7 linked regions of the Xenopus tropicalis genome follow. The protein of the gene in region 3 interacts with the protein of the main gene of each other region in a pairwise test. Links are inferred from orthologs where the notes say so. Each region holds a gene or a part of one and is shown on either strand. Other genes may lie near its edges.

Region 1 (4,009 bases), on a different chromosome or scaffold from region 3:
GAATTTTTTAACCTGCCCGATCAATATCTGGCCGATTTCCAAGGGACCGATATCGGCATCTACAATCTGCATGTGTATGACCACCTTTACTGGCTCCATGCACCTTTCCCCTGCCCAGTCTGCCCATTTCCCTGACCCTTGCAACACCCTCAAATGTCACTTCCCGCCCACCAACCCAAATGCTAGTACTAGCCACAGAAAAAGGTAGCAACCCTTATCCATGATAGCTTTGCCACCTTTGAAGAGTTATTTTAATGGCAGGAGCGGAGCTATGAGAGAGCAGGGTGGGCACAAAGGAGTGGGATGTGACATAAAGGGAAAGGGTTATGGCGCAAGAGGGTAGTCAGGCTGAACTGGAAGGCCATTTTGTAAGTAGAGCTAGTCTCTTTGGAAGCTGCAAGGGCTGATGGGAGGCAGGCCTGGGGTGGATGGAATAGTTATCATAAATTTACAGACAAGTATGTTGCCAGTAAATTTGTTATGGGCCCCAGGCTTGTATATAGGGGCTAGGTATAGGAGCTGGGACAGAGAGAAGCTGCACTGCATGTTGGTTAGTGTGGGAGGCACATCAGCCCTGTGTCAGTCCTGTTATTATTAGAATGCGTGTGAGGGGTAGGGCTCCCACTTTTTCTGGGAAAACACCAGCTTTTCTATATTTTTTTGTTTTCCCTATTAATTATATATTTTTTACTAGCCAGCCTGCAACCCTAGTGATGGACATTCATTCCCCCTTTACTATAAACATTTACAAAGAGCCAACACACTCTGCAGTGCTGTATAGCAGAATGGTATAAAACATACAAATTACATATCAATAAAAACCCAGAAGAAAAAGGGGCCGGGCCCGGCACAATAAATTTCCCTTTACAATCTTGGGGGGGCGGGGTCGCACTTTTTCCCGGCTAGGTAGGGGATAGCTCCTAACAAATGACTGTGTTCTCTGTGTTTAACTCATGAAAACAAGAATGGAGGAAATGGGAATATTAAAATAGCAACACCCCACCCCGGAGTCTTCAACTTCCCGTTACCCTTGGCAACAGTCACGGGGCCGACTTTTCGGAAAATGACGTCACCCGCCTTGAACCCCGCCCACCCCTCCTTCCTGCTCCCGCCTTAGCCCCGCCCACCCCTCCTCCCTGTGCTCTCCCCTGCTCTGCCCGAGTGTGCGACTGCCTTTGTCTTCCGTCAGCGCCATCTCCGTGCCGTGACGTCAGTGCTGTGAAGAGACGGGTCGGGAGAAGGCAGCTGTGGGGAGGACTAGTTAGCAACTAACGGGAAGGGCTTCCACTTCGAGTTATTCTCCTGCCGGCAGGTAAGTGTCCCCCTTACAGCTTCTCTTCACAGAAACATTATTTTGGGCTGTCCCACCAGCAGCAAGGCAGAGGGTGGTTATTATCCTCCCTTAGGTCCATACAACTCAGTTTTGTTCTCCCCCCCCCCCCCATCGCTGTTGTGCTTCCCAGGCAGGTGTGCCCATTCAGTGTCCCCCAGGTGTGACTGGAGCCGGAGCCCCCCGGCAGCTCATTGGGCGGTAGTACGGGCCGTGGGTGGAACTATTAAGGAAGGGGGGGGGGGGGGGGGGGGTGCGACTCCTGAGGCCGGGTGGGCCGCTCATAAACACTTTCACTGAATGTTTGTGAAGGGCTTATTCTTATTTAATTTTAGGGGGTCCCCAATATCAATTTTCCTGTGGGCCCAATGATGTCTGGTTATGCCAGTGATTACGCCCCATTAGGGGACCAGCTCCAGTTGGGGCATAAAGGGCGTATTTATTGGGGCCCCATGTTCATTTGAGGGTCTTAAAAGCTGCCATAAAGGGGGAATAGAAGATATAGACATTTTTTGAGAAACACAGGAGGGTAGTTGGTTGATATGACTAAGTAATACAAATCCACCTTTTCTGTCTCACTCACTTTGGCCTCTTTATTCACTAACTTTGCCATTCTATTTCTTACATACGCTTGCCCAGCGCTCTCCTGTGTGGCTATTTCTAATGGTGGGACCATCCATAGAGCAATAGGTGCCATGGCATTGGCCAGAGGTCAAGTGAGGTGATTTGGATTCCTTTAAAATCTTGTTTCCGCTGAGCCATTTGCCTATTTTGAGTCCCCAATACCCAGAAGGGATTTGGGAGGACTAAGCCATGTCATGTGACCGAACGGCATTCTTAAACACCAGATTATCTGGTATAGACATTAATGTAGGGTTAAAAAAATGTGTTTTAGGCCTTTGGTTTCACTAACATCGTCTTTAAATAAGGTGAGAGACAGGAGGAAGTGTGAGAGACCTTGGGCACAGTTGTGTAGATGAGTTTAGGGAAGGTGCTACAGACACCTCTAATGGAGGAAGATCACAAGTTAAAGTGACTTTTTTCTGTGACATTTTTACCGTTGACCGTGTAAGGTGGCAGCCTAAAGAATTACATGAATGTGGCCATGCCAAAAGTACTATTTCTATTAATAAGCACCTACATCAGTGGAATTTACAAACTGGTAATTTGCAGGCTGGGTTTCCTGCCTGCTGAACGTCGTTGGTTAGCACACTTTATTTAATGTGAGTCAGGATCAGTATTGTGGGTGCATGCTTCTGGTCACGTGATCATTTGGTTGGGGGTGTGTGTAGGGGAAACATTATGTGGCACTATATATCTGTGAATGCAGGTTTGTGTATGTATATGTCCATCTGAAGGCCACATTCTGCATCTGTAGCTTTTTTCAGTGGTTTGGTTCGGATTCTAAGGGCTCTGGCACACAGGGAGATTAGTCGCCCGCAACAAATCTCCTGTGTCTCGGGCGACTAATCTCCCCGAAATGCCATCCCACCGGCGAAAATGTAAATCGACATTTATATTTACTTGTGTCTCTCATAATCAGCACATATAATCAACTGGTCAGTGCTAATTACAGGTGACGCATATAATTAAATCTAGCCATTAACAACTCTAAATTTACTTACTCTGTTTTTATTATTATTATTTTATGAGCCACCAGAACTTGAATCTATCTCTGTTGTAGACACAGGACATTTACCATACAGCAGCTGTGTTGGACACAGCTTAGTTTAGCTGTCCCAGGCGTCATCTTATAGGGACACGCTAGTCATTTAGTCACATTATGGTCGTGGCCATACTTTTCCAAGAAAATGTTGCACAGCACTGATCTAGGAGAAGATTTAGGCATTTTCCCTAAATCCCACCTTGGCCTTCAGGTTCACCCCCCAGTCACTGCTCTTTATCTACGGGGACAGTCTTAAAGGAGAAGTAAAAACTAAGTAAGCTTTATCAGAAAGGTCTATGTAAATACAGCCATAAGTACTCACAGAAACACTGCACTGACTTCTCTGAAAAAAGATTAGTTGTGTCTGTAATTCCTGTGCCAGAGACACGCAGCTTTCAGCTCTCTGCTCTCTCCTTCTCCCCCCTCCCTCAAGAATGTTAAGAACTCACAACCCCCCTTAGGAATGTGGATCTGAGCCAATCAGCAGGAAGCTGACTCATAGTCTTACTAACTGAGCATGTTCAGTGGTCTCGGTGTCTGTGCAGGAGTGAGGCATTATGGGAACTTTCTTTACACAGCTTAGGGTTTTTTCTTCCTGTTTGGCTTCTGATCATCTGAACAGGAGAAATGTGGGGAGACTTAAGGGCATTATTGAGACAACTGAAGGTATGCCTGCAGCTTGAGATTAACTCTTTACTAGCCTTTCCTTCTCCTTTAAATTTTGAAAACTGCTGATAAAGATTTGCAGACCGCTTTGTAAACCTAAGTAGTGCTGGGCGGTATACCGGTTTAACCGGTATACCGGTTTTTGAAAAAAAAACGATATGATTTTTGAACATACCGCTATACCGGTATGCGCGCCTCCTGCAGTTTTTATCCAATTACATCCGGGTTGCGCCCGTGCGCACGTGACGTCGGCGCGCATGTGACGTCGGCGCGCACGCGACGTCGCTAGGACGCATCGCTGGGGCTGGGGCTGGGGCTGGTGCTGGGGTTGGGGGGGTTGTGGCTGG
Region 2 (3,500 bases), on a different chromosome or scaffold from region 3:
CTGGCAAGTCTGGGCTATGTAAGGGGATCACTGAGCTCTTTGGAAACCTGTTGCTTAGCTCTGAGACCTTCCACCTGGTCCTTCTATCAATGAATAAATGATAAAAAGGGAGTAAAGTTGCAATGTATTATACACACACGTTTTGAGGCCAGTGCACACAACAAACTGTGGTGTGCATGCCAAGAATTTTGTTTGAAAGCAATACATTTTGTATCTATTCTGAACTAAGCACAATGTTTTTAAAAATGCGCACACAAGTTTAAAATGTTTAAGAAGAAATTAAAGAGCATTGTCGGTCAGGACTTTTACAATGAGAGGGCCATATCACTTATGTGCATACTCTTCAGCTATATCGTGAGCTATATAGGCCTACTTGATTACATGAATGAAGACAGCCTGTTTATTTAGTCTAATTATGTTACATAAATGTGAATATTACAGACTATTATATATCACATAAATAGTTAGTTAGCTTGTTTATAAATTACACATGAATTACCTGATAAACTGCAGAGTGTGTGCAACTGGGTATCCATCTCTAATAAGATATGCTTGGGGGTTGTTTCAGAATTCTGGATTATTAAACTGCAAGAGAGAAAACTGTGTATTTCTGAACATTTCACATATTCATATTTCATATTGTTCCAGAAATAAACATGTAATTAAAACATACTGTTTGTTGTAATTCCACTGTGAGGATGTTCCTGTATTGAAAGTTGCTTCATTATAACCTGAAATATATGAGAGAGGAATATTTGCACCTTCCACACAAAAAAAATATCAGATCTCAGGTGCATAATTACACCATCCACATGAGAGTGTATCACATCAATTGAGAAAGAGAGGGTAATATGCATACGGAGCATCAAATAAGTATATACCACAAAGAAAAAAGAGCACCATTCCCCCCAACACCAAACAGGTAAATGAATGTCCAGAGACATGATAAATAGAATGAAAGCTTAACTTTTATTTAAAAACTTTTATTTTGTTCAGAAGGGGGAGGAGAAGGGGTGTTGACGGCGCCTGTTTTAAGTGCGAGGGTGACCTGTTGGTGGGGTTGAAGGTTGGGACTGAGGGGAATTTGTCCTACATAATTTCTGTTAAACTATTAATGTGGATGGCTAATGTGATTGGGGGATGACTCTGAAGGAAATACACGATACCTAGGTGTACTTGCTGTTAATTGATTGAAACAAAAAGGGACAGCGTGACTCTGGCATCTGCACTAAAAAGGATTACTTGATACTAAAAAACGATGATGTTAATACAATTGTTGCAAAGCCTCTGTTGAGATTATATTAGCGTCCATGATTTGGATGGGGAATTTAAGACAGAGTGATACAAGTTGCTAAATAAGGTGGGGACAAAAGTATCAAATTCACCACTTGGGTTGCATTAGTACTAATTGTTTGTTTTCGCCTTATACCCATGATTACCCCTTAGTGATGACAAGAATGTGTCACAATACGGGTTTTTTAATTCATGTTTTTTTAGGAATTTATATAGGGATTTTATTTATGTAAATAAAAGTTAAGCTTTAATTCTATTTATCTTGTCTCTGGGCATTAATTTACCTGTTTGGTGTTGGGGGGAATGGTGCAACTGATTGGAGTCTAAATAAAGATCACCTAAGGGGTGCTCTTTTTTCTTTTTGGTATATTCTTTATAACCTGCAAGAAAAATAAAATACAAAGCCAGTTCACTAATTAGCAAAGGAATAATTTCTAATCATGCAGTGTTATCCTTCATTTGTTGCCATGTAAATATCAAGATGGCCATACACAGCAGATCTTCTTAATTGGAATCAAACAGGCAGATTTAGGCCCAATTTGGCCTCCCACATACTGGGTCAAAGCAGGCAGATCATCATATCAAATTAAGCTGATCATACTTTGGGGCCTACAAAGACGTCAATGTACTCACCGCACACCCTGGCCTTTCCAAAATTTGTAACCCAGTGCTCAGGACACAAACAAGGGATCAGCACCCCCTATTCTTATGCAATAATTAAAAAAAATGTACTGGCACAACATGTGTAACAATTTGGGGCACGCTCCTACGTCAGACATAGGGACCAGTAAAGCAGTGAAGGTATTAAAAGGAAAGCAGTGAAGGTGTTAAGCTTTAAATACCTTCACTGCTTTACTGATTCATATGCCTGAGTAAGGGGCATTAGTTTACGATTATATTATAACATATTAATTTCATTTTGTGCATCAGTTCGATAAAACTCCAGACACAGGCCAATGCTAAATCAGTGTTATCTGCATTCTTCATTCAAAGTACATGTCCGTTTTGACACCAGTGACAACTGAATGCTGTTTCAAATATTATCTATATATTTCTGCTGACAGCTTTTTAGTTATTGGCTTAGAAAACAGACCACTGCACACTCTTCACTAGTACTAGAAATTTTAGAAAAATTATTTTGTAGGAACTTTTATGAGTTATGTGATCACTAATATGCATTAGATACCTTATTTACCTAATTTATAAGGTGCATCAAATGATATAATATTACTTAAGTTTCATATATACTCTTCACAAGGACTATTATTGAGATGCACTGAATCCTGGATTTGGTTGAGGATTTGCAAAATCTAAGCCTTTTTCAGTGGGATTTGGAGGAAACAAAGTATATGACAAGCACAAATGCAAATTATGGTTCAGATTTGGTTCAGAGTTTGGCCAAATGCTTCATTCAAAGTTGTGATTTGGTCAGTTACCAAAAAAGTGGATTTGGTAATATTTTACACTATAGGGCTTATTTACTAAGCCCACAGGCACAAGTGCATGGACTCTACATATTGCACCTGATTAAAAATGCACCACAAGGTACAGAAAGCAGCATCAAAGTGGCTTATGAATACAGCATTGGCAAATGAAGGCAGCTGTATAGTAAAGAAAAAGATGCAGACAGATCTTCACAGTGCAGCTTAAAAGGCTGGATGCACACTGCAAAGAGCAGCTTTTCGATGAGGATATTGTTTGTCTAAAGACTTTGAACTTGTGTCTTGGACAGCAAGAGTATTTATACCTTGTTTGGCACTCTGTCCCTAAACCATCACTACCAAAAAATGTTGTTAACGTAAGACAGTGCGGCAAGGCTTGTTTGACCTGTTATATAGCAATAAAGCACTATTAAGTTTTATATTTCCTATGTAAATAAAAAAAGTTTAGTAAAACTTAATATGTAGAGCTTTAATGTATTCAGAAAGAGCAGCACACACCACTCAACCAACAAACTGTTTCTTTATTACAGTTTTTTTTCCCTTTCACAGGATCTGTTGCCCTCTGGTGAGAAACCTAGATATTGCACTTAGGCCACTCAAGTCTTTACAGATTTGCAATCAAGCCACACAAGTTTTAAAAGATTTGGGCCAGCCTTAGGACTTCTACTGATAAGTGTATGGTTCAGTGCTCCCCTGCAGTGGCATTCTACCACGTTCCATCAAAGAGAAGATCAGGAACACCCCCCCCCCCCCCCATTCTTCCTT
Region 3 (4,116 bases):
GATTCTTATTTTGCCACGTCTTTTTTTCTTCTGAGTGGCCTTTTATAATATAGCAAAAGCCCTGTTTTTAGACTGCAAGCTGTTTTGGGCAGGGCTTTCTTTAATGTGTTAGTTACCTACTACCTACTGTTCCTCTGATTCTGGAACAGTAGTACTGAGTTTAGTTATTCTGTAGTGGCCTCTGGTTATGTAGCATAATTACTAAGTTATTCAGCTGAGTGGCCTCTGGTTAAAGAACAGTAATACACATATGAGACTTACTATTCTGAATGCCTGCGACCTGGTGTTTTCTGGATAAGAGTTTTTTCAGTAATTAAAAATTATTTAAACATTAAACCCAACAGAATTTTTTGCCACCAGAATGGATTTATGTAACTTAGTGAGGATCAAGTACAAGGTACTGTTTCATTGTTACTGAGGAAAAGGAATAAATAAATAAATAAATAAATAATTTGCTTAAAATTTGTGGAATCTGTGTATAGTGGCCTTCCCATAATTTGAAGCTTTCTGGATATTGGGTTTCCAGATAAGAGATTGATACCTGCTGAGCAGCTCCTTTTTATGTTGCAGTGGTACTGAGTTTAGATATTTTTTTTAGCAAAGTAGCATCTGAAATCTGTACATTTCTAAAAGTGGCCACACACAATTTCGATCGTTCCCACCCTCCACTGACGTTCAGGGCTGAATCGTCAGATATGGGGGTAGAAACAATAGAAATTCTACCTCCTTCTGCCGATTCAGCCCTGAACCGATATTCACAGCCTTTTGCGATATCGGTCGCCTCGTCAAGCCACTATACGCGCACCGAATATCGTACGAAACTAGGTTTTGTACAAAATTATCGGTGTGTGTGTGTATGGCCGGCTTAAGGCTGATGTCCCACGGAGCGAGCTAGTCGCACAAGACAGATATCTGCTACCGCAGGCGACTAACCACTCCGAAATGCCTTTTCACCGGCAACAATAGGAGTCACTGGTAGAAAGGCCTACGCATCACTTCAGCTTTCCGAAGTCGCACAAAGTTTCCTCCTGCAGGCAACTTTGAGTGTCTTTGGAAAGTCAAAGCGATACATAGGTTTTTCCACCAGCGACTCCTATTGCTGACAGTGGGAAGGCATTTCAGAGCAATTAGTTGCTCATGGTTGCAGAGATCTATCGGGGGCGACATTGGACATTAGCTTAATATCCATAGAATCCAAAGTATGGTAACATCAGAACAAATTCCTTTCGGCTATGTTGTAATGCAATACAGTTACAAGATCCAGGTATGGGATACCATATGCGGAATCCTGTAAGCTCTAAATTAAGGGAAGCCCATCTCCAACAGAGTCAATTTTAAGCAAATAATTGTACAGGTATCGGACCACTTATCCGGAAACCCATTATCCAGAAAGTTTTGAATTACGGAAAGGCCGTCTCCCTTAGACTCCATTTCAAATAAGTCACATTTAAAAAATGATTTCCTTTTTCTCTGTAATAATAAAACAGTACCTGTACTTGATCCCAACTAAGATATAATTACCCCTTATTGGGGCAGAACAGTCCTATTGGGTTTATTTAATGGTTAAATGATTCCCTTTTCTCTGTAATTATAAAACAGTACCAGTACTTGATCCCAACTAAGATATAATTACCCCTTATTGGGGGCAGAACAGCCCTATTGGGTTTATTTAATGTTTAAATGATTCCCTTTTCTCTGTAATAATAAAACAGTATCTGTACTTGATCCTAACTAAGATATAATTACCCCTTATTGGGGGCAGAACAGCCCTATTGGGTTTATTTAATGGTTAAATGATTCCCTTTTCTCTGTAATAATAAAACAGTACTTGTACTTGATCCCAACTAAGATATAATTACCCCTTATTGGGGGCAGAACAGCCCTATTGGGTTTATTTCATGTTTAAATGATTCCCTTTTCTCTGTAATAATAAAACAGTACCTTGTACTTGATCCCAACTAAGATATAATTACCCCTTATTGGGGGTAGAACAGTCCTATTGGGTTTATTTAATGGTTAAATGATTCCCTTTTCTCTGTAATAATAAAACAGTACCTTGTACTTGATCCCAACTAAGAAATAATTACCCCTTATTGGGGGCAGAACAGCCCTATTGGGTTTATTTAATGTTTAAATGATTTTTTTTAGAAGACTTTAGGCAGTAGATCCGAATTACGGAAATATCCCTTATCCGAAAAAACCCAGGTGGCCGAGCATTCTGGATAATGGGTCCCATACCTGTAATTGTTTTTTTTTTTTTTTAAGTAAATCCTTTTTCTCTGTAATGTAAAAACAATGCATTGTACCTGGGGGAGCATTCGCTGCATGATTCCATATTTGTAGCAAATCAATACAATTGGGTTTATTTAATGTTTAAATAGTTTTTAGCAGCCTCATCTGGAAAACCCCACAGCCCATACATTGAGTATAATAAACTGCCAGTGTATGATCACAGCTGGTAAAATAATGCAGTAAAGTTGCAAATGTTCTCTACATGCATTATATTCCAAAGCAAATGCGGAAACATTATTTGATTGCTTTTATTAATATGTAGAATTTATTAAAGATCTTTCCTTTACAGCTTAATATAAAATATACATTATACTTGAATATGATTTAACAGGAACCCGTGACACATTCCCAAACCCCGGGGGGTAAAACTCCAATTGAGTCCCAATACGGCAATGCTGCGCCCCAGCCCTCCCAGCAACACAGCCGTATGGGGGCACTTCCCCCCTCCCCAGCACTTTACGTTTGCAAGGCACAACGTTCGCTTCTTACCTGCGGCAGGCAATCCGATATCACAGGTCAAAGTTCACCCGCTGACGCCACTTCCGCTCAGCCAAACTGCATGCTGGGTGTTGTAGTGTTTTCGAGGTAGAGAAATGACATGCGCCCTGCAATGTGTATCTGCTCGCTCTATACGGACAGTGCATAGGTTACGAAAAGTAATAAGCAATTTCATAACAATATGAATGAATAGCAAAGCTGGAGTGTATCCATGTTAGTCAGAATGTTGAGAATTTATTCTATATGAATAAAAAAAAATATGTAAAGAAAAATGTTTATTTGTTCAGCTGAGGTAAACAGCAACTTTGGCTGAGCAGCAGGGAGTTTGGGAAACCGGAAACTCCACTAAACGCCGATGAACACGGTCTAGCTGGAACTCAATAAAAGATTTTTGTAGAAACTAATAGCTTGAATTTTTTTATATATTTTTCAGGGAGTTTATTGCAACTTTCTAATGGCTGGGGCTAGAGCCACTGCAGGATTGGTTTTGAAGTTCTTTATTTTTCTTCAGAAAAAGTGGCAAATGCCATTCCAGGCCCCCAAATGACATAAGATTGGGGATCCGGAAATAGTTAAGGAATAGTCAACAAGAGCCACAAACTGTGCACGCTGAGAATTTTTCAACTATATGTGAGGAAAAGTTACATTTTAAGAATTCGGGTTCAGTTCAGCCGGGCACATGGATTGGGCCGAAATCCTGGCGAAAAAGGCTGAATACCAAACCGAATCCTGGATTCAGTGCATCCCTTATATATACAGGTATAGGACCCATTATCCAGAATGCTTGGGACCAAGGGTATTCCGGATAAGGGGGTCTTTCCATAATTTGGATCTCCATACCTTAAGTCTACTAAAAAATCAATAAAACATTAATTAAACCCAATAGGATTGTTTTGCATCCAATAAGGATTCGTTATATCGTAGTTGGGATCAGTTACAAGGTACTGTTTTATTTCTACATAAAAAAAGGAAATCAGTTTTAAAATTCTGAATTATTTGATTAAAATGGAGTCTATGGGAGACGGGCATTCCGTAATTCGGAGCTTTCTGGATAACGGGTTTCCGGATAAGGGGTCCAATACCTTTATATATATATCCCTAATATCTCTGCCTTCCAAAGATCTCTAAAAACACATTTATTTAGAGAAGCTTACCCTCATTTAGTTTAACATAACCTCAGTGTGCCCATTCCCACACCTTGGGGCACATTTACTAATCCACGAACGCTCCAAATGCGTCTGTGTTTTTTTCGTAATGATCGGTATTTTTGCAACTTTGCTGTCACCGTCGCGACTTTTTCGTATCTTGCATGTATTTTTCACAACT
Region 4 (3,149 bases), on a different chromosome or scaffold from region 3:
GATACCATAAAACTATGGCACATAGGGATTCCCCTGTACTAAGCACAATTCAGCAGGAACAGCCCCCTAAGTTTGCTCATAGCCTGTACAGAGAGATACCATAAAACTATGGCAGGATAGGGATTCCCCTGTACTAGGCACAATTCAGCAGGAACAGCCCCCTAAGTTTGCTCATAGCCTGTACAGAGAGATACCATAAAACTATGGCACATAGGGATTCCCCCTGTACTAAGCACAATTCAGCAGGAACAGCCCCCTAAGTTTGCCCATAGCCTGTACAGAGAGATACCATAAAACTATGGCAACATAGGGATTCCCCTGTACTAAGCACAATTCAGCAGGAACAGCCCCCTAAGTTTGCTCATAGCCTGTACAGAGAGATACCATAAAACTATGGCACATAGGGATTCCCCTGTACTAAGCACAATTCAGCAGGAACAGCCCCCTAAGTTTGCCCATAGCCTGTACAGAGAGATACCATAAAACTATGGCACATAGGGATTCCCCTGTACTAAGCACAATTCAGCAGGAACAGCCCCCTAAGTTTGCTCATAGCCTGTACAGAGAGATACCATAAAACTATGGCACATAGGGATTCCCCTGTACTAAGCACAATTCAGCAGGAACAGCCCCCCATTATTGCTTGTGTGTATTATCTGTCTATCGTCACTCAGTATATCTAATACATATTCTTCAATAAAGCAATGTGAATATTGTGTGTATATAAGCGAGTGAGTGGCAGTTACGTTGCTGCGGGGGGGGGGGGGGCAATAGTAGAGAATATTATTGGTTGTACAGTGCGTATCTATTAACCCTATCACTGCCTTCTGCCATGCAGGGTGTCCGGCTCAGTAGACTCCCTCTCAGAAATCCCGGCAAGCAAACTCAATCATTCTTTCCCAGGTAGGTACCGGTGCTGGATCTGTAGTTAGTTGCTAAGGATTCTGGGACTTGTAGTCCCCATCAGCTCTTAATCAAGCCTGTAAAGCGTTAAAGGGAAACCTATAGGTGTAACGGCCTCTTTCCTGCAGGATTCAGGCGGAGTTACAGTTCAACATCAACCCGAGCGTCGCAGAGTGAGGCCGACCGGAGACATTCCCTGGGCAGGTAAAGCCTGAGTCTGCCGCCTTGTGTGCTGAGCCCTACCCACCGTGCAGCCGCAGGGGGAATCTTCAGCATCTGATTGGCTGCCTTTAGATGCAGGCGTCTCCCTATTGGTCAGTTTCCCCCCAAAGGTGCTGCACGAGGTTTATAGTATTATTCATTCAGTATTTATTCTGTGGGGGTGCCTGGGCCCCCACTAATGTAACAGCAATGTGCTACAGTTTCCCCGCCCCCCTCTGGCTTCCGGCCAATGGGAATCACGTGCACTGTTTCTATTGTCTTATAAAACCTTTTCTCTCAGAGCTGTAGGGGGCGCCCTCGTACCAGAAACCATGGATTCTCATTTATACCGTCCCTTTATCTCTGTGTTTCTATTATAGCGGGCAGAGGGGCTCGTGTCACTGACCTTATTACCCACGTCCCTTCTGATTGGCTCTCATGTCATCCTGTAGCCAGTGCGGCACTAACATGGGGCTTGTCAGAGTGATACTGTTTCATTAATGGCAGATACATTGAGTCCTGATGATATTCTGGATAAGCCCAATTCAGCAGGAACAGCCCCCTAAGTTTGCCCATAGCCTGTACAGAGAGATACCATAAAACTATGGCACATAGGGATTCCCCTGTACTAAGCACAATTCAGCAGGAACAGCCCCCTAAGTTTGCCCATAGCCTGTACAGAGAGATACCATAAAACTATGGCACATAGGGATTCCCCTGTACTAAGCACAATTCAGCAGGAACAGCCCCCTAAGTTTGCTCATAGCCTGTACAGAGAGATACCATAAAACTATGGCACATAGGGATTCCCCTGTACTAAGCACAATTCAGCAGGAACAGCCCCCTAAGTTTGCTCATAGCCTGTACAGAGAGATACCATAAAACTATGGCACATAGGGATTCCCCTGTACTAAGCACAATTCAGCAGGAACAGCCCCCAAGTTTGCCCATAGCCTGTACAGAGAGATACCATAAAACTATGGCACATAGGGATTCCCCTGTACTAAGCTCAATTCAGCAGGAACAGCCCCCTAAGTTTGCTCATAGCCTGTACAGAGAGATACCATAAAACTATGGCACATAGGGATTCCCCTGTACTAAGCTCAATTCAGCAGGAACAGCCCCCTAAGTTTGCTCCTAGCCTGTACAGAGAGATACCATAAAACTATGGCACATAGGGATTCCCCTGTACTAAGCACAATTCAGCAGGAACAGCCCCCTAAGTTTGCTCATAGCCTGTACAGAGAGATACCATAAAACTATGGCACATAGGGATTCCCCTGTACTAAGCACAATTCAGCAGGAACAGCCCCCAAGTTTGCCCATAGCCTGTACAGAGAGATACCATAAAACTATGGCACATAGGGATTCCCCTGTACTAAGCACAATTCAGCAGGAACAGCCCCCAAGTTTGCCCATAGCCTGTACAGAGAGATACCATAAAACTATGGCACATAGGGATTCCCCTGTACTAAGCACAATTCAGCAGGAACAGCCCCCTAAGTTTGCTCATAGCCTGTACAGAGAGATACCATAAAACTATGGCACATAGGGATTCCCCTGTACTAAGCACAATTCAGCAGGAACAGCCCCCTAAGTTTGCTCATAGCCTGTACAGAGAGATACCATAAAACTATGGCACATAGGGATTCCCCTGTACTAAGCACAATTCAGCAGGAACAGCCCCCTAAGTTTGCTCATAGCCTGTACAGAGAGATACCATAAAACTATGGCACATAGGGATTCCCCTGTACTAAGCACAATTCAGCAGGAACAGCCCCCTAAGTTTGCTCATAGCCTGTACAGAGAGATACCATAAAACTATGGCACATAGGGATTCCCCTGTACTAAGCACAATTCAGCAGGAACAGCCCCCTAAGTTTGCACATAGCCTGTACAGAGAGATACCATAAAACTATGGCACATAGGGATTCCCCTGTACTAAGCACAATTCAGCAGGAACAGCCCCCTAAGTTTGCTCATAGCCTGTACAGAGAGATACCATAAAACTATGGCACATAGGGATTCCCCTGTACTAAGCACAA
Region 5 (4,292 bases), on a different chromosome or scaffold from region 3:
AACCTGCAACTTGCAGTATCTACATTACAATCCCGAGCATGTATGGATAGCCTGGAGGTCTTTTAGTATCACAAACTATATATTAAAAAAAAAAAAACTGCTAAACCTCAAGGGAAAAGCTGTGAAAGTTACAACACTTCCTATTCGGAAAGGGGGAGGGTGAAACCTGTTGAAGAGGTAAATTCCCTGTTAAATTAAATTACCATGGCATATAGCAATGAAAGCATACATATTAGGAATTAGTTTTTATCCATAAGGAGACATCTAGGCTTGTTGAAATGGCAAATCAAGTTAGTTGCTAGTAATATTTAGAGTGAAGACACACAGAGCTACTAGTAGCAGCTACTTGTCACGGCTACTAAAATAGACAATGCTGATCATTTACTGATAATTGTCTCTATGTGTGTTTTAGCAGAGGCAATTCTCAGTATTGTCTATGGCAGGGGATTTTCTGGAGTTTAATAGCCATGAGAAAGTAGCTGCTACTAGTAGCTTAGTGTGTCTTCACCCTTATACAGGACCCAAACAGTTCTGTTTAACCTGTCCAAACTGAGGCTGAGATTCATGTTGAGACCAGACAGAATGGTCACTTATCTACCAGCTAACTGTACTGCCCAGACTTCAATCTACCTAGAAGGAAGTATTCAAGGGATTCCAGGGCACCTGAAAATAATGCCCTGGGGGTGCAGGACATTGCACGGGCACAGACTGGATGTCTAACATGACAGAATATTAATATGAAGTTATGTATTGTGCTTCCTATAGTGCCCCAGGGAACTAGGGAAGGTGCCAGTTTGTGGCCATAGGATACAGTGCATTAGCTTGATGGAGGCAGCTCCCAGTGCGGGCAGCCATGTTGTTTCCCACGTATGCGATTCACCCTCCTATGTCACAAGCATGCGCATAATGAGCGAGTTGTGGCAGGTACTTGGGGAGCTCGCTCCTGGTGAGGGCAGTCTAGTGCTGCCGGGGGCTTAAAAAAAAAAAAAAAAAAAAAAAAAAAAAAACTACTGTTTCCCCTAAACTGAGTAAAGATGGCCATACGCTGGCTGATTTCAGCTGCCAATATATCAGTCCTTTAGATCCAATGTGCCTGTGTATGGGCACCAACAATCTCCCTGTTTATCTGCCTGTGTATGGGCACCAACAATCTCCCTGTTTATCTGCCTGTGTATGGGCACCAACAATCTCCCTGTTTATCTGACTGTGTATGGGCACCAACAATCTCCCTGTTTATCTGCCTGTGTATGGGCACCAACAATCTCCCTGTTTATCTGACTGTGTATGGGCACCAACAATCTCCCTGTTTATCTGACTGTGTATGGGCACCAACAATCTCCCTGTTTATCTGCCTGTGTATGGGCACCAACAATCTCCCTGTTTATCTGCCTGTGTATGGGCGCTAACAATCTCCCTGTTTAGCTGCCTGTGTATGGGCGCTAACAATCTCCCTGTTTATCTGCCTGTGTATGGGCGCCAACAATCTCCCTGTTTATCTGCCTGTGTATGGGCGCCAACAATCTCCCTGTTTATCTGCCTGTGTATGGGCGCCAACAATCTACCTGTTTATCTGCCTGTGTATGGGCGCCAACAATCTCCCTGTTTATCTGCCTGTGTATGGGCACCGACAATCTCCCTGTTTATCTGCCCGTGTATGGGCGCTAACAATCTCCCTGTTTATCTGCCTGTGTATGGGCGCTAACAATCTCCCTTTTTATCTGCCTGTGTATGGGCACCAACAATCTCCCTGTTTATCTGCCTGTGTATGGGCACCAACAATCTCCCTGTTTATCTGCCTGTGTATGGGCGCCAACAATCTCCCTGTTTATCTGCCTGTGTATGGGCACCAGATCTTGATCGGGCAGGTTTGATTCTTCTGTCGGACCGGGGACCTCATTGATGCAGTCACTGCACTAACGGTGCCTATGCCCACTGTTTTAATTTGATAATTTGGCCCTAGGGTGGGCATATCGGGAGGAGATCCACTCTATGGGCGCCCTCGCCAAGCAAGCGTTTCTTACAGTGTAAGGCCACCTTTAGGCCACACTACTGATGGGGAAACAATTAGAAACTGAATGTAGTGCCTTTTTCTCTAGTCCTGACTGCACTATTAATCCCCTGGTTTCTGCTACATTGCTTCAGGAGTCAGTACCAGCAGAGCACATAGAATTTTCATTTGCCTATGTGGCAAAACCCAGTGGAAGTCAGTGACTATTGGGACGTTGCTGAGTAATTCTTCTGCAATAAATCCTGTTTGTGGGCGGTGTTCCCCTTTAAACGTGTGGCCCTGCAGCTGTCAAACATGTCTGATTGCCCGGCATTAGTAAGGGAGAGCCCAGGCAGCCCTCTGCAGCCGCCCAGCCCGGGGGAACAGCAGTGCAGGCAGGGCCGAGTCTTGTCACTGGCGGATTGGGAGCTGTAACACCTAGTGCTTCCCTCCCAGGCCTCCGGGGGCAGCTGATTCCGCGCTACCGGCACAAGCAGGAACCCGGGGCTCCTGACAGGGCAGAGCCGTGCGGAGAGGTGCGAAGGCCCCGCAGCAGCGCTACCCGGGCCAAGGCACCGCCCCACAGTACAGCAGGAACCCCAGAGAAGCCAGTTCCTGGCCGGCGGTGCAACCTGCCCTCAGCAAGCCCTCCCCCCGCTTCCCTGTCCCGCAGCGCCCCGTCACCCAGCTCACCCGAGACCGTGGTGGCCGCCATCTTGCCTTCGCAGTGCTCCTGAGCCGGCCTCCCAGTGACGCCACACAGGGCGGGGAGCTTCAGCCGGCTGTCAGGCAGGGAGTGGGCGGGGAGAAAGGGCTGACTCACACGCACCATAGAGACGGGAAGAGGCGGCGTCAATACGTCATTACGTGCTGCGTCTTGCGTCATAAACGAGACTGACATGCTTCATAAGGGAAATGTATGAATAGGAAAAGTGTAAATGTGTCAAAAATGAGATAGATATAAAAAAAATAAACTAAATGGGCAAATATATGGCCCAGGTATGTACCTATAGCTAGCTTCTGGGAGCAAAATGTTTTTTTAATCTCTAGGCCTTGTCTTCTTATATTGTATAAATATGTTTGTATTTTACACATTACAGTATGATGGTACAGCTTATTGTGTGATTCTAAATATGTCCAACAACTCACTGCAGAGAAAGAGAGGCTCAGGTGCACTGCCCAAGCCTTTAGCTAAGGGAGTGGATATCATGTTTTTTTTGAAAAAAACTCACTGAGCATATCGTGAGGCAGAATTCTTGATTAAAAAGTAACTTCATTGGAGCTGCCATATTGTTTCCTTTAGTACAGTACAGTATGAGGGTACAGCTTATTGTGTGCCCAGAACATTCCTTCTCTGTATATTTGTATTTATACATATGGGAGGGAGGTGCCATAATGTTTCCCTTAGACAGTACAGTATGGGGGTACAGCTTATTGTGTGCCCAGAACATTCCTTCTCTGTATATTTGTATTTATACATATGGGAGGGAGGTGCCATATTGTTTCCCTTAGACAGTACAGTATGAGCGTACAGCTTATTGTGTGCCCAGAACATTCCTTCTCTGTATATTTGTATTTATACATATGGGAGGGAGGTGCCATATTGTTTCCCTTAGACAGTACAGTATGAGGGTACAGCTTATTGTGTGCCCAGAACATTCCTTCTCTGTATATTTGTATTTATACATATGGGAGGGAGGTGCCATATTGTTTCCCTTAGACAGTACAGTATGAGGGTAGAGCTTATTGTGTGCCCAGAACATTCCTTCTCTGTATATTTGTATTTATTCATATGGGAGGGAGGTGCCATATTGTTTCCCTTAGACAGTACAGTATGAGGGTACAGCTTATTGTGTGCCCAGAACATTCCTTCCCTGTATATTTGTATTTATACATATGGGAGGGAGGTGCCATATTGTTTCCCTTAGACAGTACAGTATGAGCGTACAGCTTATTGTGTGCCCAGAACATTCCTTCTCTGTATATTTGTATTTATACATATGGGAGGGAGGTGCCATATTGTTTCCCTTAGACAGTACAGTATGAGGGTACAGCTTATTGTGTGCCCAGAACATTCCTTCTCTGTATATTTGTATTTATACATATGGGAGGGAGGTGCCATATTGTTTCCCTTAGACAGTGCAGTATGGGGGTACAGCTTATTGTGTGCCCAGAACATTCCTTCTCTGTATATTTGTATTTATACATATGGGAGGGAGGTGCCATATTGTTTCCCTTAGACAGTGCAGTATGGGGGTACAGCTTATTGTGTGCCCAGAGCACAATATTTTATATTAAGATTTGT
Region 6 (3,992 bases), on a different chromosome or scaffold from region 3:
AGGTGACTTATATTTTGCATTGGCGTTGCTTTAGCTTTGCAAAGTAGCCGAAGTTGCCTCGAGGAAACTTAGGGCTACTTCGGAAAGTAGCCACTCATGTTTCCCCACTGGCGATTCTCACCATTGCCAGTGGGGAAAAACATGCAGGAGATTAGTTACACACAGAAGACGATATATATTGCGGGGGACTAATCGCCTAGTGTCATTGACTTGCCATTTTACCTCTTTAAAACAGGATACATTTAAAACCTGCATGGCTAATTGTCAATAAATAACACAGACTGCATGGCTATTAAAAAGGAGGTTCCTTCCTTCAGCACATGTATGTATTTCTAAATGTAATGGATGTCAGTCTTGTTTATATACAGGCTGTATTCTGCACAGGTAGCATCATGGTCTAATTAGTGTCAAATAATAGAGACTAGAGTTATACCAATGTATGTATGTATGTATGTATGTATGTATAACTTTGTTTATAAAGCGCCACAAGGGTACGCAGCGCTGTACAATCTTACAGAATACAAAATTACACACAGGGAGGACTAGTGTTATAATAAATAAATACAATAAATATATATAAATACACAGAGAGTAAGTGCCATGTGGTATGAGACACAGTAGGAAGGAGGTGCCTGCCCCGTAGAGCTTACAATCTAAGTGGTTGGGTAACATACAGGCACAAATTGGAAGGTAAAGGTGACCACACCTGGCGATTTTCAATCTTCCAATCGCCACTAACCTTCAAGGCTGAAACAGCAGATATGGAGGTAGAAACAATAGGATTTCTACCTCCTTCTGCTGATTAAGCTCTGAAGGCAGATTTTGCTCGGGCGCTACACAAAATCTTTTAACCCACCTGATTAGTGGCCTCCTGTGATATTGGTCAGATATTTTATGTGTTAATGTGAAAATACACCATTATGAATAAATGCACTAGCAAGGCTTCCCAAAGCTTATTATAGGGGTAACAATGCATACCATTTATACAAGTGAAAGGAAAACAACAGCACTCAACTAACTTTTTCACCTTTCTAGCATAGACCTTTACAAACAGGCGCTTGGGGGGTACGGAGGCCCTTCAGTTAGAGGAAGAAGCAGTGAGAGGCCAGTGAGCTCCCATAGCTGTGAGAGGCCAGTGAGCTCCCATAGCCGTGAGGCAGTGAGAGGCCAGTGAGCTCCCATAGCCGTGAGGCAGTGAGAGGCCAGTGAGCTCCCATAGCCGTGAGGCAGTGAGAGGCCAGTGAGCTCCCATAGCCGTGAGGCAGTGAGAGGCCAGTGAGCTCCCATAGCCGTGAGGCAGTGAGAGGCCAGTGAGCTCCCATAGCCGTGAGAGGCCAGTGAGCTCCCATAGCCGTGAGGCAGTGAGAGGCCAGTGAGCTCCCATAGCCGTGAGGCAGTGAGAGGCAAGTGAGCTCCCATAGCTGTGAGAGGCCAGTGAGCTCCTATAGCCGTGAGGCAGTGAGAGGCCAGTGAGCTCCTATAGCTGTGAGGCAGTGAGAGGCCAGTGAGCTCCTATAGCCGTGAGGCAGTGAGAGGCCAGTGAGCTCCCATAGCTGTGAGAGGCCAGTGAGCTCCCATAGCTGTGAGAGGCCAGTGAGCTCCTATAGCTGTGAGAGGCCAGTGAGCTCCTATAGCTGTGAGAGGCCAGTGAGCTCCTATAGCTGTGAGGCAGTGAGAGGCCAGTGAGCTCCTATAGCTGTGAGAGGCCAGTGAGCTCCTATAGCTGTGAGGCAGTGAGAGGCCAGTGAGCTCCTATAGCCGTGAGAGGCCAGTGAGCTCCCATAGCTGTGAGAGGCCAGTGAGCTCCTATAGCCGTGAGGCAGTGAGAGGCCAGTGAGCTCCCATAGCCGTGAGGCAGTGAGAGGCCAGTGAGCTCCCATAGCCGTGAGGCAGTGAGAGGCCAGTGAGCTCCCATAGCCGTGAGGCAGTGAGAGGCCAGTGAGCTCCCATAGCCGTGAGGCAGTGAGAGGCCAGTGAGCTCCCATAGCCGTGAGGCAGTGAGAGGCCAGTGAGCTCCCATAGCCGTGAGGCAGTGAGAGGCCAGTGAGCTCCCATAGCCGTGAGGCAGTGAGAGGCCAGTGAGCTCCCATAGCTGTGAGGCAGTGAGAGGCCAGTGAGCTCCCATAGCTGTGAGGCAGTGAGAGGCCAGTGAGCTCCCATAGCTGTGAGGCAGTGAGAGGCCAGTGAGCTCCCATAGCTGTGAGGCAGTGAGAGGCCAGTGAGCTCCCATAGCTGTGAGGCAGTGAGAGGCCAGTGAGCTCCCATAGCTGCCCGGAGGAGCTGATTACCTTGGAGGCTGCAGCACAGAGCCAGCTGGGCCCCAGCACGGAGTAGCGAGCGGCCACCATTCTCCAGAAGCCACCGTTGGGCAGTCCAGGAGCCCAGCAGCGCCATTGTGTCCCCTGGCCGCACCAACTGCAGAGGGGTAATACCTATTCCGGCCTTGGTGATTTTATTGGCAGTCCGTAAGCTTAAACCACTCAGCTCCTCTAGTGAATAAATGTTCAAAGTTCTAATATCTTATTATAAGTTAGAGGGGTGAGCTTTCAACGGCATACTGCACGTAGATGCAGCCATTCTCTTTGCTTCCCCCTACAGCTGACAGCACGACGTGGTATATTCCAAGATGGCGGCCTCCATGCTGTGTCGGCGTGTGTTGGTTTCCAAGTCCCGGTTATCCTCGCTCGGCAGCTTAGTGACAGGTATCGGTGTATGAATTTCGGTGCATGAAGACTCCTCAGACTGTATATTCTCCCGCTGTGTCTGAAAGAGCCCGAGTGGCTGATCCGTAGCTGCTTTTCTGTGCTGGGGCTTGTGCGGGGAGAATGACATTCGCTCTGGAGCCGCTCGATGCACCGTCATATTATTATATTATAGTTACAGGGTGAAGAGTTCTCTCTCTCCTCGGAGCTAAACTTCCCCTTGTCTGTTGGTTTTTATTTGTTGTACAAAGTTTAATACACACGTTCTTGGTGCCCCTTTACCCATGTATCATGTATATACCCCACTTCCCAACATTGTGTATTTGTAATCAGGGAAAAGCCTGATACACTAGCTGAGCAGTTTGGTACAATAGGCATGCTGGATTTATTTTGATAAACTTCCCATACAAATGACATTAACTTTCAAGCAAGCACCCACATTAACCTTGCACCCAGCCCTGTCCTCAGCCCCTGTCACTGCAGGGCAAGTACCTTCCTTCCTCCCCAAAAACAGCATTCATGAGTGTCAGGCTAGGGGGTCCACACTGATGTCCCACTTCTGTTCCCTTAAGTGATCCCCAACCAGTGGCTCAGGGGCAACATGTTGCTCCCCAACCCCTTGGATGTTGCTCCCAGTGCCCCCAAACCAGGTAGTTATTTTTGAATTCCTGACTGGGGGGCAAGTTTTGGTTGAATAAAAACAAGATTTCCTACCAAATAAACCTCTGGTAAGCTGATAGTGTGCATAGAGGCTGCCTAATAGCCAATCTTAGCCTTTATTTGGCACCTCCATGAACTTTTATGGTGCTTGTGTTGCTCTCCAAGTCTTTTTACATTTGGCTGTGGCTCACGAGTAAGAAAGGTTGGGGAGCCCTGCCTTAAGTTATGCATCATTCAGACACACCAGTCAGACATGCTATGCAAAGTAGCCCTGTACTTATCACCTTCTATTTGGCAGGAGGCAAGGAGAGAACTGACTTGCCCCTGTCGGCACTGCAGTCTGCCCGTTGTGCATGATTTTCAAAACAGCACAAGCCATATTTCATCCTTCTGTAGGTGCCGGGCTGCACACTAGAGCTATTGATGCAGGAAGTGGGATGTATATGTATGTATCTACATCTACATATTTTAGGAGACGGTAATGGCCAATGTTTATTTTAAACAGTGCCACATCCCCAGACCCCAGTGCATATGTCACATATAGGATTGTCACCTGCCCAGTATTTTTAGCATCTTAGCTGGTAAAACACCAGCCAAGATCAGGATCGTTATTCTAGAATTACCAGAGAA
Region 7 (3,500 bases), on a different chromosome or scaffold from region 3:
ATACTATTTATACCAAATCTGACTCTCTGGGTCTAAGGCCTTTGACATAAAGCAGTGCTTTATGTAGAACCTAAAGGGACAGTATACCCCTTGTAAAACATAATGCATAATGGACTCCTGCTAACAAAACAGTCACAACATATTGTGTATACTGCTAATTATCTACCGTGCAAGGACTATACATGGAGTAGCTTCAACTTTCCTGCAAAAAAGTCAAAAGTTGCATTGCATAGCATTTTAACTATTAGCAGACAAGTTACAAAAGTGTATGTTCAATCTATGTTCAATCAGCTGACTTAACAGAAACGCCACCCAAACATTTCTAGCATAATAAAGAAAATACAATTTAAGCAACTCTCTAATATACATCAAGTCAAGTGTTTTATACAACAATCACACGTGGCATACCATCCACATACCCTCTTATCTGCAGCTCTCTGTAGCTGCACGGCACTGGCCAGAGTGCAGCTACATGGGACTGTGATTGGCCTGAAAACACATGCTTTCACCTTTTTCATGCTGATCTCTGTTCCCTGTAGCTGAACTCAGGCTGAAGCTGTGCCTGTTAGATAAGACATGAGCTTCTCGCAGGCAGAGAAAAGTGGACAGTACACATATCTGTTACAGTAGCCTTAGCGTTACTTGTAAATGTAATTGCTGTTGAAAGGGGAATCTGTCTGTGCCTTTCTAGGGTCTGTCCTGCTGGTTCTGACAAGAGTCACTAGTTCAGAAAGAATAAATAAAAACAGCTTTCAGTTGCAATTACAAATAACTTTAAAACAACTGTCAATGTTTACTTAATGTTATTGCAAAGTTGCTTAGAATTACATTTTCTTTCAGTAAGCAAACCATGTTTGGGCGGAGTTCCCCTTTTAAATCACTTAATTGCTCTGGATGAAAAAGGGAACTCACGTGGAACTTGAACATGTGAATTAAGCAGAAAAACAACTTACTGTTTTCTTGAACTCTTGCCACAAATCCCATCAAAGGAAGCTGTGGCGTTACTTGTAGAATGGAGGGAGGAGGAGGAGCATGTGACACTAAAAAGAAGCAGTTTTATTAAAATGTATGGCTGCTCTGCAACAAAAATACTAATAGACTGCAACACAACACAATCAGAAAAATAATTTAATGTGCCACAAAAGGGCCACTACACAGAGATAAATGTTTTTATTTAGGAAGATTTTAATTGTACTTGTACAATATTTATATTACACAATATTTATTGTACCTGATTTGGCACACTACAAAATCACTCACTTACATTATCAAGAGAGAATGTAATTTATACATATTTCAGGTAGTTTCATATGAAATACACATACACTGACAGTAAGGGCATTGACACATGGGGAGATTAGTCGCCGCGCAACAAATCTCCCTGCAATGCCACCGCACCAGGTAGAATGTAAATCGCTGGTGGGATGGCATACGCGGCACTGCGATTTGCTGAAGTCGCCCAAAGTTTCCTCTCAAGGAGGTGGGATTGCATTGTGGGGAGATAATTCGCCCACGACAACTAATCTCCACGTGTATCACTGCCATAAATAATTAAGCAGAATGACCAACTTGGATACCCAGTGAATTTGGTAGATCATCTGTGGTGTTACTAGCAAGTAACAACCAACGCCTTTGAAGCTGTCTGCATTGTTTCCCCATCTAGCTGAACTTGGTATTTAGTATTTGTGGCATTCTGCATTGGACTACTATAGAGCCTTAAAGGAAAAGTAACACTAAAAAATTTGAAGTAAAAAATCTACCTGGCTGCTTCCCCCAATACTTCCCCTGCATCACCGTATCGCCTTTCTTCAAATTACCGAAAGCCAAGTTTAAAAAGGTATTTTGTACTAAAGCATTCAAAATAATAAATGGTTTGTAGGATAGGGCAATTATTGGGGCAGGGTAGAATAGATTTTTTACTTAAAAATTTTTAGTGTTACTTTTCCATTAAAGGAGAAGGAAAGGTAAAAACTAAGTAAGCTTTATCAAAATGGTCTATGTAAAAACAGCCATAAGCACTCCCAGAAACACTGCACTCTATCAAAAGGAACACAGGATTTTTTGATAAAACTCACTCCCCCCACCCTTAGGAATGTGTAATCTGAGCTACAACGGCTAGGGCTGCAAGCAGGAAGCTATGAAGATCAAGCTAAAATGGCAGCTGCTATCTTAAAGGATATGAAAATCCCACACACAAAAATGTAATCAGTGAACAGCCTCTTTGAAATCTTTCAATACCTGCCACTCTGGTTGTCCAGCGGTTAATAGTAAGGCTGCAACATCTCCTTAATCACTTAGATTTCCTTCTTCTCCTGTAACCCACTTGCCCCCCACCTTGGGAATTTGCTTTGACGTCTGGCTTGTGGACATGCTCAGTTGTTCTAAGCTCAGATAACTAAACATGCCCTCCAGTCTAGCAGCCAGTAAAGAAATGGCATTGCTGGTTCCCATAGAAACTCAGCTCTAGCTGACTTCAATTTTTTTTTCCTAACCTCCTCTCCTGAGCTCAGCTCAAACAAATCAGAACTTTATCAGAGACAGTTGTGCCTGTGTGAGCCTGTATTTTTGATGAAATGTATGCTGAATAAGGGTCTGTGTGTGTGTGTGCTGTTTGCAGATTTAAATGTATCTGATTATGTATCAGAGGAAAAATGGCCACCGGGTGAAAGCTGCTATTTGCTTTAGGAACATGTGATGGTGCTGGCAAGTGGAGGGGATATATGCAGTACAAATGATGCCATTTGGGTGGGGGAGACGTGCCCAACTGTTATACATTGTAGGCAAATGTAGGCTTTACAAGTCCTTTAAACAGAGAAAGCTTCTAGGGCTCTTTACTCAGGTATGGCACTAATGTGGCGAATCTACTGGCAGTAAAATGCCAAAATTACTTTCCTTTAATTATTGTTTAAAGGAGAAGGAAACTGTAGTCAATTGTGAAATAAATGTAAATTGTAACCTAATTTTAAAGTCAATTGTTAAGTCCATTACTAATCTGCACTGCAGTTTAAAAAGTGTGATGGGGATAAGACTATCCGTTATAAAAATTCCCATCTAACTCCAAGCTTCCCACAAATCGTTAAAAAATATAAAAAAAATATTGCAAATTAACATTTACTCGTAATCACTTACAAGATTTGCTGAATCCATAACAGATTCCTGCATTTGGTGCATGCTTTCATAAATGCTCTTACCTGGGTTTTGGCTGTAGAAAGGCCCTCCATTTATCTGGTTCTGAAGGCTGGGCTGGGTGGTCATCGACGGAGGGCGCCGATAGGGCAGAGAGCCTCCAATTGTTGGTGGATTGTGCCGAGATACTGGTCTGTTCATACTGTAAAACTGTGCAGGATGCCCTAAAAGGTGTAAAAATGATGGTGCAATGCTTAGGAATTATTTAAATGTTTGGTATCGGGACACAAATTACTAGGCTATGTATATTCATAAAAAAATACAAAAAGGCTTTTCCTGAGGAAGGAAACATATGTGTTGGGGGCATGCCTGAT

What was found.
Region 1: the proteins of trim32 (region 3) and sdcbp interact in binary tests that used the Homo sapiens proteins (3 or more experiments, as listed by UniProt). The two-hybrid records come from large-scale screens. The link is inferred for Xenopus tropicalis from reciprocal best matches to the Homo sapiens genes TRIM32 and SDCBP.
Region 2: the proteins of trim32 (region 3) and ube2u interact in binary tests that used the Homo sapiens proteins (3 or more experiments, as listed by UniProt). The link is inferred for Xenopus tropicalis from reciprocal best matches to the Homo sapiens genes TRIM32 and UBE2U.
Region 4: the proteins of trim32 (region 3) and clip4 interact in binary tests that used the Homo sapiens proteins (3 or more experiments, as listed by UniProt). The two-hybrid records come from large-scale screens. The link is inferred for Xenopus tropicalis from reciprocal best matches to the Homo sapiens genes TRIM32 and CLIP4.
Region 5: the proteins of trim32 (region 3) and ube2v1 interact in binary tests that used the Homo sapiens proteins (3 or more experiments, as listed by UniProt). The link is inferred for Xenopus tropicalis from reciprocal best matches to the Homo sapiens genes TRIM32 and UBE2V1.
Region 6: the proteins of trim32 (region 3) and ptcd2 interact in binary tests that used the Homo sapiens proteins (3 or more experiments, as listed by UniProt). The two-hybrid records come from large-scale screens. The link is inferred for Xenopus tropicalis from reciprocal best matches to the Homo sapiens genes TRIM32 and PTCD2.
Region 7: the proteins of trim32 (region 3) and abi2 interact in binary tests that used the Homo sapiens proteins (3 or more experiments, as listed by UniProt). The link is inferred for Xenopus tropicalis from reciprocal best matches to the Homo sapiens genes TRIM32 and ABI2.

The regions. Positions count from the first base shown.
Region 1 is NC_030682.2:116,370,579-116,374,587, forward strand, and holds the start of sdcbp (syntenin-1), read left to right. Parts: upstream 1-1,209; 5' UTR 1,210-1,312; intron 1,313-4,009. UniProt on the Homo sapiens protein: Multifunctional adapter protein involved in diverse array of functions including trafficking of transmembrane proteins, neuro and immunomodulation, exosome biogenesis, and tumorigenesis.
Region 2 is NC_030680.2:84,737,277-84,740,776, forward strand, and holds part of ube2u (ubiquitin-conjugating enzyme E2 U), read right to left. Parts: intron 732-3,500; coding exon 674-731; intron 586-673; coding exon 500-585; intron 1-499. UniProt on the Homo sapiens protein: Catalyzes the covalent attachment of ubiquitin to other proteins.
Region 3 is NC_030684.2:34,070,289-34,074,404, forward strand, and holds the start of trim32 (E3 ubiquitin-protein ligase TRIM32), read right to left. Parts: upstream 2,801-4,116; 5' UTR 2,782-2,800; intron 1-2,781. UniProt on the Homo sapiens protein: E3 ubiquitin ligase that plays a role in various biological processes including neural stem cell differentiation, innate immunity, inflammatory resonse and autophagy.
Region 4 is NC_030681.2:6,120,748-6,123,896, forward strand, and holds part of clip4 (CAP-Gly domain-containing linker protein 4), read left to right. Parts: intron 1-838; coding exon 839-903; intron 904-1,031; coding exon 1,032-1,107; coding exon of another isoform or gene 1,108-1,111; intron 1,112-3,149.
Region 5 is NC_030686.2:36,460,929-36,465,220, forward strand, and holds the start of ube2v1 (ubiquitin-conjugating enzyme E2 variant 1), read right to left. Parts: upstream 2,801-4,292; 5' UTR 2,703-2,800; coding exon 2,681-2,702; intron 1-2,680. UniProt on the Homo sapiens protein: Has no ubiquitin ligase activity on its own. The UBE2V1-UBE2N heterodimer catalyzes the synthesis of non-canonical poly-ubiquitin chains that are linked through Lys-63.
Region 6 is NC_030677.2:182,870,178-182,874,169, reverse strand, and holds the start of ptcd2 (pentatricopeptide repeat-containing protein 2, mitochondrial), read right to left. Parts: upstream 2,801-3,992; 5' UTR 2,703-2,800; coding exon of another isoform or gene 2,627-2,702; 5' UTR 2,395-2,626; coding exon 2,289-2,394; intron 1-2,288. Other genes in the region: mrps27 (28S ribosomal protein S27, mitochondrial), read left to right, coding at 2,627-2,702. UniProt on the Homo sapiens protein: Involved in mitochondrial RNA maturation and mitochondrial respiratory chain function.
Region 7 is NC_030685.2:54,227,341-54,230,840, reverse strand, and holds part of abi2 (abl interactor 2), read right to left. Parts: intron 3,351-3,500; coding exon 3,192-3,350; intron 1,041-3,191; coding exon 954-1,040; intron 1-953. UniProt on the Homo sapiens protein: Regulator of actin cytoskeleton dynamics underlying cell motility and adhesion. Functions as a component of the WAVE complex, which activates actin nucleating machinery Arp2/3 to drive lamellipodia formation.